4 linked regions of the Drosophila melanogaster genome follow. The protein of the gene in region 1 purifies or fractionates together with the protein of each later gene. This does not show direct contact. Each region holds a gene or a part of one and is shown on either strand. Other genes may lie near its edges.

The links.
Region 2: the proteins of Spc25 (region 1) and Nuf2 purify together in Drosophila melanogaster (affinity purification with mass spectrometry; 2 studies listed by BioGRID). This does not show direct contact.
Region 3: the proteins of Spc25 (region 1) and Kmn1 purify together in Drosophila melanogaster (affinity purification with mass spectrometry, with the first as the bait; 2 studies listed by BioGRID). This does not show direct contact.
Region 4: the proteins of Spc25 (region 1) and Prp31 purify together in Drosophila melanogaster (affinity purification with western blotting, with the first as the bait; one study listed by BioGRID). This does not show direct contact.

What each region holds. Positions count from the first base shown.
Region 1 is NT_033777.3:12,959,773-12,963,761, forward strand, and holds Spc25 (Spc25), read left to right. Parts: upstream 1-1,972; 5' UTR 1,973-2,063; coding exon 2,064-2,190; intron 2,191-2,253; coding exon 2,254-2,470; intron 2,471-2,944; coding exon 2,945-3,269; 3' UTR 3,270-3,477; downstream 3,478-3,989. Other genes in the region: grsm (granny smith), read right to left, coding at 1-545. UniProt on the Drosophila melanogaster protein: Acts as a component of the essential kinetochore-associated Ndc80 complex, which is required for chromosome segregation and spindle checkpoint activity during meiosis and mitosis.
Region 2 is NT_033779.5:7,063,913-7,067,845, forward strand, and holds Nuf2 (Nuf2), read right to left. Parts: upstream 1,926-3,933; 5' UTR 1,854-1,925; coding exon 1,553-1,853; intron 1,493-1,552; coding exon 1,120-1,492; intron 1,063-1,119; coding exon 549-1,062; 3' UTR 519-548; downstream 1-518. Other genes in the region: Sem1 (suppressor of exocyst mutations 1), read left to right, coding at 174-285, 341-468.
Region 3 is NC_004354.4:11,570,868-11,574,186, reverse strand, and holds Kmn1 (kinetochore Mis12-Ndc80 network component 1), read left to right. Parts: upstream 1-1,744; 5' UTR 1,745-1,788; coding exon 1,789-1,996; intron 1,997-2,054; coding exon 2,055-2,398; 3' UTR 2,399-2,804; downstream 2,805-3,319. Other genes in the region: CG11696 (uncharacterized protein), read right to left, coding at 1-134, 204-329; Reepl1 (receptor accessory protein like 1), read right to left, coding at 663-1,385; CG11699 (uncharacterized protein), read right to left, coding at 2,887-3,018, 3,079-3,319.
Region 4 is NT_037436.4:15,157,193-15,161,703, forward strand, and holds Prp31 (Pre-mRNA processing factor 31), read left to right. Parts: upstream 1-1,907; 5' UTR 1,908-1,977; coding exon 1,978-2,076; intron 2,077-2,132; coding exon 2,133-2,584; intron 2,585-2,646; coding exon 2,647-3,265; intron 3,266-3,324; coding exon 3,325-3,660; 3' UTR 3,661-3,771; coding exon of another isoform or gene 3,772-3,907; 3' UTR 3,908-3,946; downstream 3,947-4,511. Other genes in the region: Msh6, read right to left, coding at 1-235, 294-1,295; CG7011 (uncharacterized protein), read right to left, coding at 3,772-3,907, 3,973-4,180.

The sequences.
Region 1 (3,989 bases):
AAAGGCTCGCTCTCAATGCAGCCATCCTTGTTGATTAGCACAAACTCAACATTGACTACGTTGCGTCCTGAATTTGCGTTTCCATCTCCACATCCAAGATTTAGCTTTGGCTGACTTGAGGCCAGCAGATTGCCCGTTTTGCGGGAATAGAGTGGAAAAGCGCGAACCACCGCACAGGCGCTGGCGAATAGATTCTCTCGTTCGCAGACGAGCACCACGCTCTCCTCGGAAACGTTCAGCACATGGTTCTTTACCAGACGAGTGATGGCATGAGCCCGGGATGCCGTATTGTGTCGGGATGCCTTCAATGGCAGGGCAGCCACGGTGGCCACATCGAGATAGAGGGATACCTTATCGGTGGGCGCGGGATGCAGACAAGCGACGGCATTCAGGAAGGTCTCCTCGGTGACGCGCGGACTGAGTTTGCTCTCCAGATGACTGAACTTCAGTAGGTTTAGATGGCGCAGCTGGCCGATGATCAGGACCGGATGTGTCTGCGGATCACTGCAGCCTAGCGACTCGTTAAACTTTACGTCCGTGGCCATCTGTAAGAGAATGTGTGTGCGAATGAGTAAAGAATGGAATGGCTAGCCAAATCCCAGTGATAAGCCGCCGGTATTATCTTATCGGTGCTAATCTGGTGTTTAGCGCTCCAAGTGCCCCACTTGCTTATCAGTCGACGACTTTGCACCACAGGGGCGGTCAATGGATGCAGCCATCCATAAATCACGAGAGCCAAAACCGGCGAGATAAGCAGTGGCATTTGGGTTATGGGTAGGGCCATCTGGACAAACACAGGGGCGTTACTCATCGGTTGCAAGCGGATGCAACGCTGTAGGGGAAGTTTAAGAATAGCTGACCCATATTAGAATGGCTCAATTAAAGTAGCTCCATTGTGAAAAATACTGCAGTATAATTTTATAACTAAAATTCTAATAAAAAACAATCAATCAATAATTATGTTTACAACTAAAAAGCATTGGGTTCATAAAATGAAGCTTCAAAAGAAAAAAATTACCTCTAAAATATTTTAACTATAATAATCACCTAATATACATAAATATAAATTGTATTGCATTTATAATGAACAAATTAAGATAAATTGTAGTAGCAATATGAATTCTAATAATTTACATAACATTTTCTGAGTTTTAGCGAATATTAGAAAATCTTATAAAATCAAATAACGTTTTTTTTTACAAATTATTAATTTTAATATATTTTGGTACAATAACTTAACTAAGTAGTTAACATTTTCAACTTAAAGCCATCAATTTTCCAGCTTTACAGTCGCAAGGCAATAAAAACATAAACTACCGAAAAGATATCGTTCAGCACATATCTTTACGATGCTCCATAAACTCGCATGGGTTTTATAAGCACGATATCATTGTGCATAAAGCGATTTAAGTTTCTTAAAATCGCAAATGCCACATGACCTTGAATTCGGTGCAACAAGAACAACAAGTGGGTCGTTGACCGACTCGCAGCATTCGAAACCGAAAAGTGGATAAACATCTAATTTACCCATTTTCAATTGGATTTGACTGGACACTCGATATGTAGAAATATTATGCAAATTCTATATTCTCTATTTTTAGACTCTTTGTTCGCGATTTCTTCGTTTGCAAAGCGTTTTTTGCACATTTTCTGCCTTTTTATTCGCTCACCTTTTTGAAGCGGGCGCTGCTGTAGGTGCGAGCGAGATGGTTGCGTATTGCCTGGACGCAGAGCAGCAAACGCATGAAGTGCCTGCTTCAGAAATTGCACAAAAATTTGCCAAAAGTGCCGACGTTTTATTTTTATTTTATTTTGCTGCCAATTTGACTTGCAATTTTTTGCTTGCCGGCTAATAGAGATGTGACTTGCACGACGATAAGTCGATGTCAGCTATCGATAAGTGCAGAACCACTTTTTTCTTTCAGCCTGGCCACCCTGCTGGTGTCGTGGAAGTGTCATCCCTAATGAGAAGTACCACCACTAACTGGAAAGCAAAACAAGCGTCTGGAAAACGGCGCTTAGTTTTTAAAGATTTTAATTGATTGCAGTAAATTGAGTTTAAAATGGCAATTATTATGACTGAATCGAGTTACGAAAGGCGCGTAAAGGCTTTGTACGAAAAACAAATTCACATGGAAGCCCTCGAGGCGAAATTCATCAAAAAGGTCTTTAAATTCAACAGCAATTTGTGTGAGTTGGAATTTATCTCCATATATCTCCATTTCAATTGATATATTTCACTAAATATTTTAGTGGATGTCAAGGAAGCAGCTTCGCGCCATCAGCGGAAAGTGGGAAAGTTGCAAAAAGTGCTCATGGAGCGGCGGGAGGAGTTGGACAAGCGAGTTTCCTTCATAGAGGAACTTGATCGAGAACTGGAGGCCACCAAACTTCACAATTTGGCCATGAAAGATTGGTTTAAACAGCAGAAAATGCTGGCCAAACAGCGCAAAAACGAAATCATGGAAAGGTCAGGGATTAGGTCAAAGATAATCATATTAAGATTTTCTTAGCACGAATGGCTAGCTAATATTTTCCGGGCTCCAATGGGTTCGATCTTGTCCTTATTATACATAAAAATGACTATTCATATTGATTTTTAGTCCATCCAAAACTACTATTGGTACAAATATATGTATATGACAATAATGTATTGTCAACATTTATGGTCTTTACATGCGTACAAGTTGCAGTGAGAGACTAATCAAATACTTTATTTACTTTAACTAAATCTATTAGGAGCATCATCAAAGTCTATAAACTGCAAATAATAGATATAGTTGAGGTCGTGTTCCAAATAACTTATTTAGCTTACATACATAATTTATTTGCATAGCCTCACATGCGCTCTTATTTTTCAAACAAATCCGATTTTAATGCGGTCAGTTTTAAACTTAGTATACTATAATGAGAGCAATGTGTGTTTATTTGTTTTATTTTATAGCATTCACACGCTGTCGAAGACAACAAGAACCTATATAAATCAAGAAGCGCTGCCGGCACGTGTGAAGGGTGTCACTGTACTCCGTGGCGATAAACGCGACCAGTTGATACCCTTTGATCTGAAGGCGACCGATGTGGAAGGACTGGACTCACTGTGTCAGCATCTCGAGAGTCTAAATGTGGACGTGGCGCAGTGGCAGCAGCTTATCTCGCTGGCCATGGACATGGCTATGGAGTCACGTGCTCCCACTACTCCGCCCAAGGAAGCAGACAATTGCAAGTCTATAATCGAGATTGATCTCACATCGCCGATGAGCCACACCTGACTTCCGATTAACTGATTTACTTGGATTAGGGGGAAGACCCTTTTCCAATGGAGCACTTTATTTTAGCATTATAAATAGTTGGCTTCCAATAAAAGCTCAATTGGGAATTCATCTTAACGAATTAAGCATCTTATTATAGCAGTTTTTTAGCCATTTAAGTACTGCTTGTAATTGTTTAAGTGCAGTGTAAATTATACATATATCTCCCAAAATTTTTTTTTTTTTCTTTTTTCTGATATATCATCTTCACTGGAAGCTTAAAAATTTTTAGAGATATCGCCAAAGAAGAGATATCGCGAAAGGCTCCAGTTTAAGTAGTTCCAATTCAAACTTATTCAAATTAAAAACCAGTTATTGAATTTATTTTAAATCAAAAGTCTTCTTATCATATTTAACCAAATTTACAACTTTAGTGATAATTATATCATAAATTTGGTTTAATGAGTTCTCTATTACTATAAGGTTTTATATATATTTCAAATGTTTGGGTAATTTCCTTATAACTATATCAGAACAAGACCTGTTTTATTAAACACCTTTCTTTAAGATTTGTATGATTATCTGAGAGCTTTTGACATGGCGGCCGGTGTTAATCGAGAAATCTCGAAAGTCACAAGCGACTCAGAGTGCCACCGACTAACCGATCTATGAATAAACAGCGATCCATATAGATTGGCGCTGCTCAATTGCTATTGTCCGGCGAAAGTTAGAGCGACCTAT
Region 2 (3,933 bases), on another chromosome or scaffold:
TGTCGGGTGCCAACGGTATTTTGAAAGTATTTTTTCCTGTTCACTTGGGTATATTTCGACGGTACAGCTGCGGTCACACAATTAAAAGTGACTGGCATCATTTAGCAACAAAAAACGCGAATAGCGTCAAAAACATTGTTTTATCGCCGTTGGAATTAATAAAAGCACACAAAATGTCTGCCCCAGATAAGGAAAAGGAGAAAGAGAAGGAGGAGACCAACAACAAGAGCGAAGACTTGGGTCTCCTGGAGGAGGACGACGAGTTCGAAGAGTTTCCCGCCGAAGGTTGGACGCAATAATGTGGTGGTACATCGGCAGTTTCTAATCACTTTCATTGTAGATTTCCGCGTTGGCGACGACGAGGAAGAGCTAAATGTGTGGGAGGACAACTGGGACGACGACAACGTGGAGGACGACTTCAGCCAGCAGTTGAAGGCCCATTTGGAGAGCAAGAAAATGGAAACGTAAACCGGCACCGACCCCTTTGTTCAGTCCTAACCATAAAAACGAGCTGAGCTGTTTTGCATTAATAGAATAAAATCAGTATATTAAGTGGAATTCATCTGCCAGTTTTGTCCGAGAACCTCATGGATTTGCTCATTTAATATGGCATATAGCTGATCTTGCTCCAAATTTTGCTGGTCTAGCTCGATCAAGTGATTATTCAGATCCTCCAGACGTTTCTTGCGATCCTCAACATCGACCTGCAGCTTTTTGAGTTCATTTTGCACCTTGTGATTCTCGGCATCGTTTTCCTGGTTTCTTTCCTCGTACCGATGTGCACAAAGAGCGAGTTCCTGCTTCTTGGCCTCTGCATCCTGAAGGAGCTTCTGATAATTAACTTTACAGGTGGGCAACTGCTTTTCCACTGCCTCCAGCTGCTTGAAGCTCTCTTTGTAATCATCCACCTTGCACAGCGAAAGCACAGCCGTGGCCTTCTCCAAAGCGGTGGCTATATGTTGACTGTTTTCGATCATCCGGCGATGTTCATTCGTCACCTGTTTTTTACTGGCCAGCTCCGTCTTGCAGCTCTCGACATGCGACGATGCGCTCTTAATTTTCCTACAATGTTTGACATTAAAATAAGCACAGAATCTAGGCTTGCCCGACAGCACTTACTCTCGCAGCTCTGTCACTTGACTGTCCTCCACCACTAGCTGTTCCCAGTGACCGATGCGTTTGTCCAGCTCACCCTGCTGCTGCTCAATGAGTTCCAGAGTGTTTTCATGCTCGCTACAGGACTTCTTCAAAGGTAGAAGCTTTGCTTGAGTATCCTGCAAATCTTTCTTGAGTTTGTTTATGGCCACTTCGCAATCCTTCGTCTTCTGGCTGCATTGCTCCAGCTGTTGACTTTTGGCCTTCACCTCGGCGGTCAGCGAATCCTTTAGCTTAATGGCCTCCTCTACAGGTCCCAGCACCTTCTTTTTGAACACCTTGTAGTAGGCCAGATGGTTGAAAAGGTAGCTCAGCGTGGCGAGCGTTTTTTTAACAGCTAATAGCCAAAGAATTGTTTAATAATAATTGCTTATTGTAAGACCGGCTGCCGGCTCACCTGGTTTAATTATGTCCATATAGGTGTACGTCTTGTTGGGAAAGCTGATCTGGACGATGCGCTCCACTTGGCGGCACACTCGGATAAGAAAGACGCGCGCCTCCCGCGACGAGTGACCGAGTTCGGTGCCAATCTTATAGGGCGGCTCCAGGCGAAAGCCGAAACTCCGCAGATAGTGCACCATGATCTTGGTGACAATGGGCTCGGTGGGATTGGCCAAGTCGCTTTGGCAGATATTGATGTCGGGCATCAGGCAGTTGCCCTGGTCCATTACCCTTTCAATTTCGACTGATAACGCCATTCAATCCAGAGTTTTAATTTTTAATGGCAGTTTTTGAATGGAACGCCGCTAAGGGATCAGATTGATGTGACCAAAGCTTGCTAGCCCCAAAAAACCACTAAAATACTAACTCAGAATTTATGTGGTTTTCACACCTATAGTCCTACAGCAGATTCTCGGGTTTTTTTATCCGGTTTTCTTTCCCGGCAGCTAGAAAATACTGCATTTGTTCAGCGCAAACTTAAAAAGTAACGGAAAATCTGGCTAAAGTTACTAAGTTACATTTTTTATTGGTGAGTGAAAACTCTGGCTTCCTCCAGCGCTGCAAAAGATGATGCTAAAAATCTGATATGCCCGTACGGGGTTTTCTCCAAAACTTGGCCAAAAAAGGTGGCACAGCGAAAATAAAGACTGTTTTGTACTGCTAATAAACATACCTAACTATCCCTATCACTAGTTTTTTGATTTTCCAAAAATAAAATTTTTACAAAATTTCGCATTTTTGATAAGGGGTACCCTCATCAAAATTTGCAAAAAATTGAAGCCTCTTGGATCTTTCAGGTTTCAACACATATGGATAGGGAATTAAGTTACGAACTCAACGAGATATGACATTCCAGTTTTGGACAACTATTCTTATTGCTATTGCAAAAAACTCGTTATTTTTGTAACCAAAAAGGAACGAAAAGAAATTTTGCCAAAAATCGTATATTTCCAATCGCTGATTTCTCCATAACTTGGCCAAAAAAGGTGGTACAGTGAAAATAAATACTGTTTTGTACTGCTAATAAACATACCTAACTATCCCTATCACTAGTTTTTTGATTTTCCAAAAATAAAATTTTTACAAAATTTCGCATTTTTGATAAGGGGTACCCTCATCAAAATTTGCAAAAAATTGAAGCCTCTTGGATCTTTCAGGTTTCAACACATATGGATAGGGAATTAAGTTACGAATTCAACGAGATATGACATTCCAGTTTTGGACAACTATTCTTATTGCTATTGCAAAAAAACTCGTTATTTTTGTAACCAAAAAGGAACGAAAAGAAATTTTGTCAAAAATCGTATATTTCCAATCGCTGATTTCTCCATAACTTGGCCAAAAAAGGTGGTACAGTGAAAATAAATACTGTTTTGTACTGCTAATAAACATACCTAACTATCCCTATCACTAGTTTTTTGATTTTCCAAAAATAAAATTTTTACAAAATTTCGCATTTTTGATAAGGGGTACCCTCATCAAAATTTGCAAAAAATTGAAGCCTCTTGGATCTTTCAGGTTTCAACACATATGGATAGGGAATTAAGTTACGAATTCAACGAGATATGACATTCCAGTTTTGGACAACTATTCTTATTGCTATTGCAAAAAAACTCGTTATTTTTGTAACCAAAAAGGAACGAAAAGAAATTTTGTCAAAAATCGTATATTTCCAATCGCTGATTTCTCCATAACTTGGCCAAAAAGGTGGCACAGCGAAAATAAAGACTGTTTTGTACTGCTAATAAACATACCTAACTATCCCTATCACTAGTTTTTTGATTTTCCAAAAATAAAATTTTTACAAAATTTCGCATTTTTGATAAGGGGTACCCTCATCAAAATTTGCAAAAAATTGAAGCCTCTTGGATCTTTCAGGTTTCAACACATATGGATAGGGAATTAAGTTACGAATTCAACGAGATATGACATTCCAGTTTTGGACAACTATTCTTATTGCTATTGCAAAAAAACTCGTTATTTTTGTAACGAAAAAGGAACGAAGAGAAATTTTGTCGAAAATCGTATATTTCCAATCGCTCATTTCTCCAAAACTTGGCCAAAAAAGGTGTCACAGCTAAACTAATGACTGCTAATAAATATAACTAACTATCCCTATCACTATTTTTATGATTTTCCTAAAACGAAATTTTAACACATTTTCGATAAGGGGTGTAAAACTGGGCGACACATTTGATACATGTAACAATGAACTGGGTGAAACATAAAGGCGTAAGGTTTGAAGTTATCTGACTTAAGCACTTAAATAAATAGTTAAAAACATAAATAACTGTGCTCTTTGATTTTGTTAAATTTGTTAATGGCTCTGATTGGACA
Region 3 (3,319 bases), on another chromosome or scaffold:
TCAGTTTTCAGCTGCAAGGAGCGGTGCAGCGACCGCTGCTTCTCCGCTACCATGGAACAGAATTGCTCGATCTCGGCCAGCTGCCGCCAGCAGCGGTTGCACAGGCACGTGGACACCACGTCGTTTTCCGCCAACTGAAAGCGAACAATTCAATCATTAGAAAAAAACATCTTTTTGGGGTAGAAAAGTCCAAATCCACTCACCACCAGCAGCAGATGTCGCTCGATCAGCTCGGCCAGCTGGCGATGTGCCGGTTGTCCCATTGGCGGTTCCTGGCCGAAAATGGGCACCCCGTGCTCAGCATCCTCCAGGCAGAGTCGGCATATCATCTCATAAAAGGAAGGACACAAATCCCGAGTCGAATCGCGTTAAATGCAGCTGTTTTTGATTCGTTGCTGAGTTTTGTTATGTGAGCGTTACCGGACCGCGAAAAGAGACCTCCGCGACTGATTGTGCAAACACAAGAAAATAGGCTAGAAAAAATAGCTAAGAAGATAACCAACACATTGGTTCAATATTTTGTGACTAAAATTAATCAATTTAAATGCTTTTTTTGTATAAACTTTATTGCGGTAAGGTTAGTTTATTTCTGAGATGTATGCTTTTTGAAAGCTCTGAACTTTGACAACTTCCGCCTGACATATTGAGGATATCAATTGATGTCACATAAACTGCGACGAAAGATTCATTTCTTGCTGGTTGCTTGATGATGGCTGACGCATTGGCTTCGGCGGCGGTATTGGTCTCTCCTTGGGCTTGGAAATAGGCTCCTTAATAACCAATAAATCAGATTCGGATCCGTGCAGCAGATCCATATTTAAATCGATATTTTCTCCCAAAACCTCGTTGATGGTATCAGATAAGTTACCCATCTGTTTCCGCTTCTCTTCCAACTGCCTTTTGGCTATGGCATCGTTGACCAGATCCTCGATGCTGGGCGTTATTTGGAGGGCAGGACGATGACCGCTGGGCAGGAGATAGCGATCTGCCAAAACCATCAAATGGCTAAGAACGGAGCAAACTTGTTGCCACACCAATTCGCCCCATTCCAAGGTGATACGTCCCAGGACCTGGTCGAAGGATTCGTTACAGCTAAAGGATCGCAGGAACTCCTCGTAGATCACCTCACTGCCGCCGCCCACAGAGGGCAACATCCAGAACAGGAGAAGCACCTTGAACTCACTTAGCAATGGAATAAATGCCAGCAGACCCGCTGTGAAATAATCAAAGGCCACATAAACTCCATAGGCAATCCAGTAGATTAACCATCCGCGAAGATCATTGACGCTACAATTCTGACTTTTCAGGATCTTGTAGGACGCGAATGCTGGATAGAAACAGCCCACCAGAAGGGACAGTATGTGTATCACGATCGCATAAATCATTATTTGGAAATTTTGGATAATCTTAAAATTTTGGATTTTGAGAAAGTATATATATAGCTGTGTATTCGGTTCTCGATTTTGTTCATTTGGTTTGACTACTTGAACAAATACAATAAATTGAAATGTGATTCTAAACGCAAGGCCTGCTTAGCATTCATAAAATGACTTATGCCCTATAACCCTTTTCCCCTTTTTTAGTTCAGCTTTTTTTCAATGAGTATATATCTTTTTATTAATATTAAAAGTGCAATTTTTTATATCGTATATTTTAATTTGTATAAAAGGTTTTGGCTTGAAAAGAGCCAGAGCGAATTACGTTCAAAAGATGTGGCATCACTGGATCAGCGATGGGTGTTGGCAAGCGTTTACGGATTTAAAAACTGAAAACAAACGAAGCGACGCGATGGAGCCAGCCGAAAGTCCAGAAAAATTAATGAAATTCGTACGCCGCAGTGACGTACTGGAATACGTGGGCAACACGAGTGCCGTCGATCTATCGAGCGGTGATCTCTCCGACATCGATCTCAAGGACGTGCCGGCCCAACTGGAGGCCACTTTGAAACCGCGTCGCTATGAAGCAAGCACTTTGTTTAACATTGACCTGGACGATAGTAAGTGCAATCCTTGTGGTTAATTAAATTGCCATTTACTTAACGTACAGACTTTCAGTCTGGGATCCTAGCTGTCAGGAGGACGAGGTGCAGCAGTACAAGGAGCGCGCCCAGAAGGAGCAGCAAAAGTTCTTCGACTTTGTAATGCATGCGGCACTGGACACGGACAATCGCAAGGTTAGCTTCAAGCCAAACAAGGAGCAGCAGCGTTACCTAGATCAGGGACCCAATTTGCAAAACTTCGTGCGAAGCTCGTTGGCTTTCACAAACGCGGCCATCCGATTTCAGGCGGAGCACGAGGACATGATGGAGCTGCAGTGCAATATGGACGATCACTACCTATTCATGCGGAACACCATGATCAACAACGCTATACACCAGAATATGGCCAACCAACGGTGACCCTAAGCTATGCATAAATATACATATGTGAATTGTAGATATTGATAAATTAAATTAAGACTCAGAGATTGTAAGACGGTTTGCTTTTGGCTTATACAGTATAATTCGCTTAGCTGCCTCGAGTACTTTGCACAATGCCTCGATGCAGGTAACTTAAAAATGCAGCTAACTTAATTTTTTTTTTTCTATTTTCTATTTTCTATTCACACAAAAAAATGGAAAAATAATGCAGATATCTTGCCGATGCAGCTAACTATCGATGCAGCTAAGCGAATTATACTGTATTTATTTCTACCCTAATATGTAACTCCCTAAGTTGCACTTCTGATGATGGCTGCCTTTAAGTCTGACCGAAAGAAATGAAAACCGATCAAACGTCTTGAAAACATTGTCTGTATGTAAACTGAAGTTAACAAAGGTTTCGTTTTATGTTCTGGTCTACTCAGGCGTTAGGTCTACTTTAAATTGTGTGTATATTTGTGAGCTGCTTATTCCTTGTTCCAGGCTGCCAGGTATTTCATGAGGTCCGTGAGACTCTCGAAATCGGTGCGGCTGGCTGGTGGTTCGTCCTTGGTGATTCTTGGCAGTGCATTGCCCATCTTGAGGCGGAACTCCTGGAACTGCGAACGAAACGAAAGATTTAAAGCGAAATTCATTGAACAAATCGGAGGCATGCTCACATCCTTGGCTCCGGATAGCTTCCAGAAGCCGTAGCAGAAGGCGCCGGTGCCCATCACGGCGTACAGTGTGCCCCAGCCCAGCGCCCGCAGGGCCAGGGTGGCGCCCTCGTCCATCAGGATCATGCCTTGCCGCGTTCCAGCCTGCTGGAGGACCTTGCTATCCGTCTTCTTGGCGGTGGCCAGCGTGCGCGAGAAGCCGAACAGAGCGGACACCCCGCCCACCAAACCCAGAAAGGCGGCG
Region 4 (4,511 bases), on another chromosome or scaffold:
CTATGAAGCACACTCCATACCGGCTACAAGTTCCCTCATCCTTCTCCACTATGGCCAACATATAGTTGGGCTGATGATTCGGCCCGATCTTGCACTGTGAGCCAAAGACCTGGGTGCCACGATTGGTGATCTGGCAGATCTCGCGGGCCACCACTTTGTCGAACTTGGTGGCCTTGATCCGCTTGCAGCGCTCAGTCATCATATCTGGAGTTTCCGTTTGCTCAACGCGAGCCACCTAAAGAAAAACTTGTATTAGTTTTACTGGGAAAAGGAGCTATCCTTGGACAAATTACCTTGAAGCCCCTGTCTACGAGAATGGTGGACATCTTGTCGAAGGATATCTCCGGGAAACCGGAGTGAGCAAACTCGCCGCGCATGTAAGTGAAGCCCAGCTCGTTGACGCCCACATCCGCATCCATGTGATACAGTTCATAGAACTTGCCGACTTTAAAAAACAAGACGCAGTCATAGTTGTCCGACTTAAGGACCCACCACTGTCGAACTCCCGGCGACAGGCCATTGAGGAACTTCTCCGGCACATGCAAGGTGCTCTTATCGTAGTCCGGATGATCTGGACGTCTTCCCTCCTTGTCCTTGATCTTGTCCGGTTGCAGGAACTCTAGTTTCTGGTGCGGCCAAACAACGGGCTCATCCAGATTGGACGTGTTGGTCACGATATCATCGTAGGAAGCATCCTGCTTGGCATTGCTCTGCAGGTTCTTCAGCTTTTCTTGAAAGGTTGCACCCTCGGCCAACTGGATGGTCGACTCTAGCTTGACCTTCTTGCTCGATGGCTCATTGTTATTGTTGTTATTCAGAATCTTAGACTTTTTGCGCGATTTCTTGGGTGTCGGACTGTCCACGGACATGTCGTTCTCGCTAGGCGACACCTCCTCCGCGCCGCTGCTAACGCTATCATCGCTGGCTTCATTCTCATCCGGTTCGTAGTCGGAGGCGCAATCGGAGAAGTCGTCCTCCGACTTGGTTACCTCCATTTCCGGCTCACTGTCCGATTCCGGCTGAACGATGCGCTTCCGCTTGCGTTGACCACTGGCCGGCTCATCGTCGGAAATGGGCAACTTCCTCTTGGCCGCCGGCTTGGAAGCCTCTTTCTTACCATCCTTCACTTTTGGCTGCTGGTTCTGGAGATTCTCCTTTTCGCTCTTGGATGCATCGGGATCTGTTTTCACGCTAGGAGTCAATTTCTTTTTGTCGAAAGCTGGCGACTTGGAAAAGTAATTTAGTAGCGTGTTTGTGGGCGTCCCGCCCACGCTGGTGTTTAACTTCTTGGACATGACAATGGCCTAGAAACGTCTGCCAGGTTACTCAAAAAACCAGGATGCAGACGCTGCGATTGTGCGCCAAAACCAAAAAATATTCTGTCAAATTGTGGCTTAATAATACCGAAATAGTAGCTTGACTATTTAGTATATTTAGGGAACTCGTGCCCGTTGGAATTTTCGAATACCACTGAGGAGATTTTATTTTTTCGTTACAATTTGATGCTTCTTATATAATAAGTCATTTTTTTTCATTTTTGATCTGTGTTTATCTAGGCTTTGTTGTCCCAAAATAAATAAAGAGTGATAGTTAAGAATTAAGCAAAACAATTGATAGCCATACCTATATTTTCATCAACCTTATATTTTCAACCATATTTTCAATTCCTTTACTTTTAGATACAGAATTCTAATTAAGCAGGAAAATCGAAACTTTCCAGAATAATAACAAGAGTTATGATATTGGATCGTTCTGTTCATGAAATGTTTATTGAATTTGGTCAAATTGATCAATTAAAATCCAGTGGAATAGCCTTATGGTATTCTTTAAATGAATACCCTATATATTTCATGCTAATACTTAGTATTTTTTCAATGAACCGCATGGTATTCTAAGGCGGCTGAGCAACGGTCACTTCAATTCCAAAACAAACTTAATTTCACGAGATCGCAAAATAAACTTTTGAAATAAGCCAAAATGTCGCTAGCCGATGAGCTTTTAGCCGATCTCGAGGAAGACAATGACAATGAGCTGGAGGAGGAGGATTCGGAGATGGCCAGTGCAGAGGACGAGAGCGTAAGGAACCAAAGCAAATGTTGATCAGACCTAATGATTCCCCTCCCACAAAACAGTTGCTGGCGGAGAAGCTGGCTAAGCCGGCTCCCAATCTGATGGACGTGGATGTAACCGTGCAGTCGGTGCGGGAACTGTGCAAGCTGCGCGACTCTGAGCGCCTGAAGAACACGCTGCAGCAGATCGAGCACTATGCCAGTCGCCAGAGAACTGCAGCCGAAATGCTGGGATCCGTAGAATCCGATCCAGAGTACTGCCTCATCGTGGACGCTAATGCCATAGCTGTGGACATTGACAACGAGATCTCCATTGTGCACAAGTTCACCAAGGAGAAGTATCAGAAGCGATTCCCCGAATTGGACTCCCTGATCGTGGGTGAAATCGAGTACTTGCTGGCGGTCAAGGAGCTGGGCAACGACCTGGACCAGGTCAAAAATAACGAGAAGCTGCAGGCTATTCTCACGCAGGCCACCATTATGATTGTGTCAGTCACGGCGTCCACCACACAGGGGTAAGTTATTTGAACGGTGTAACCCAAAATAACATGTCACTGAATCCCATTCCCTTTCGCAGAACCATGCTGACACCGGCGGAGAAGGCAAAGATCGACGAGGCCTGCGAAATGGCCATCGAACTGAATAACTTCAAGTCCAAGATCTACGAGTATGTGGAAAGTCGCATGACCTTCATAGCCCCAAATCTTTCCATGATTGTTGGAGCATCGACGGCGGCTAAACTCTTGGGCATTGCTGGTGGCCTTTCCAAATTATCCAAAATGCCGGCCTGCAATGTTCAGGTGTTGGGTGCACAAAAGAAAACCCTCTCGGGCTTCTCACAAACGCAGATGTTGCCGCACACTGGCTATGTGTACTACTCACAGATTGTGCAGGATACTGCGCCAGATCTGCGACGCAAGGCAGCTCGCTTGGTGGCCGCCAAGTCCGTGCTGGCTGCTCGTGTTGATGCCTGTCATGAGAGTGTCCACGGGGAGATTGGACTGCGCTTCAAGGAGGATGTGGAAAAGAAGCTGGACAAGCTGCAGGAGCCGCCGCCGGTGAAGTTCATAAAGCCGCTGCCCAAACCCATCGAGGGAAGCAAGAAGAAGCGAGGAGGCAAACGCGTGCGCAAGATGAAGGAACGATATGCGCTGACAGAGTTCCGCAAGCAAGCGAACCGCATGAATTTCGGAGACGTAAGTTTCTGGCTTAAAAATATAATGGTTATGTATTAATCTTTGAACTTTTCTTTCAGATCGAAGAGGATGCCTACCAAGGAGATCTGGGCTATTCACGCGGCACCATCGGCAAAACTGGCACCGGCCGCATCCGATTGCCCCAGGTGGATGAGAAGACCAAGGTGCGCATTAGCAAAACGTTGCACAAGAATCTGCAGAAACAGCAGGTGTACGGCGGCAACACCACGGTCAAACGCCAAATCTCCGGAACGGCATCCAGTGTGGCCTTTACGCCACTGCAAGGTCTAGAGATTGTGAATCCGCAGGCGGCGGAGCGTTCGCAGACGGAGGCCAATGCCAAATACTTTTCAAACACATCCGGATTCATGTCAGTGGGACAGCGGACCACTTAAGAGAACAGCTCTATCCTTATTTTCTATAAAATTAAGCACTTTTATTTGGAGATTTGTCGAATGTATATTGAGTTAGGCGTAGTAAAGCTGCATAAGAGATTCGAATTGTTGTTAGCTGAGCTTGCCGACTTCCAGTTTCCGTTGAATGGCCTCCCACGAGTTGTTCAGCAGCACGGCGAGAATGCCGGCCACCGTGAACACGCCTCCGATGATGGAACAGCAATTCGTGGCGAAGTGGCCAAATGAGCTGGGAATACACAACACAACCAATAAAACTTGTAAAATTAACCATTAGCTTTGTGGCTTACTGACCTGTGTCTCTCCGCATATTTCACCATCAGTGGCGAGAGCTCGTAGCTGAAGAATATCCCCGGCATTCCGCGCTCGCGATCTGAAAGATCTTTTCGGTATCGCGTGACGGAGAATTGATTCGTGTATATGGGCTCGCCGTCGCTGTTTCCTCGCATATATAATGTGGGAACAATTTTTAAATAGTAATTGAACATTTCACTTTTGGTTTCTGCAAAAAGAGGAGAGCAGATTTTCTAGTTTACTTCATTTGTCGTTGATAAATGTATTTAATTTGGTAAGGTAATTACGAATTAAACTTCATGCTTCTAAAAACAGGTATTTCACAATTCGAACAAATGAGTATATTTTTTCCAATTTAAAAAATGAAAATGCCCCACACAACAGACCTCCGAAGTTTCCCAGAAATTCTTCGAGGAGTAAAATATAAATTAAAATGGATGCCTGTGCTTAAATAACTTAGTTTTTTTTTATTTCAGTCTTAAGTATGCTTTTTAATAATATTAATAAATAAAGAATATAAATTGATTTTAAAGCACCCG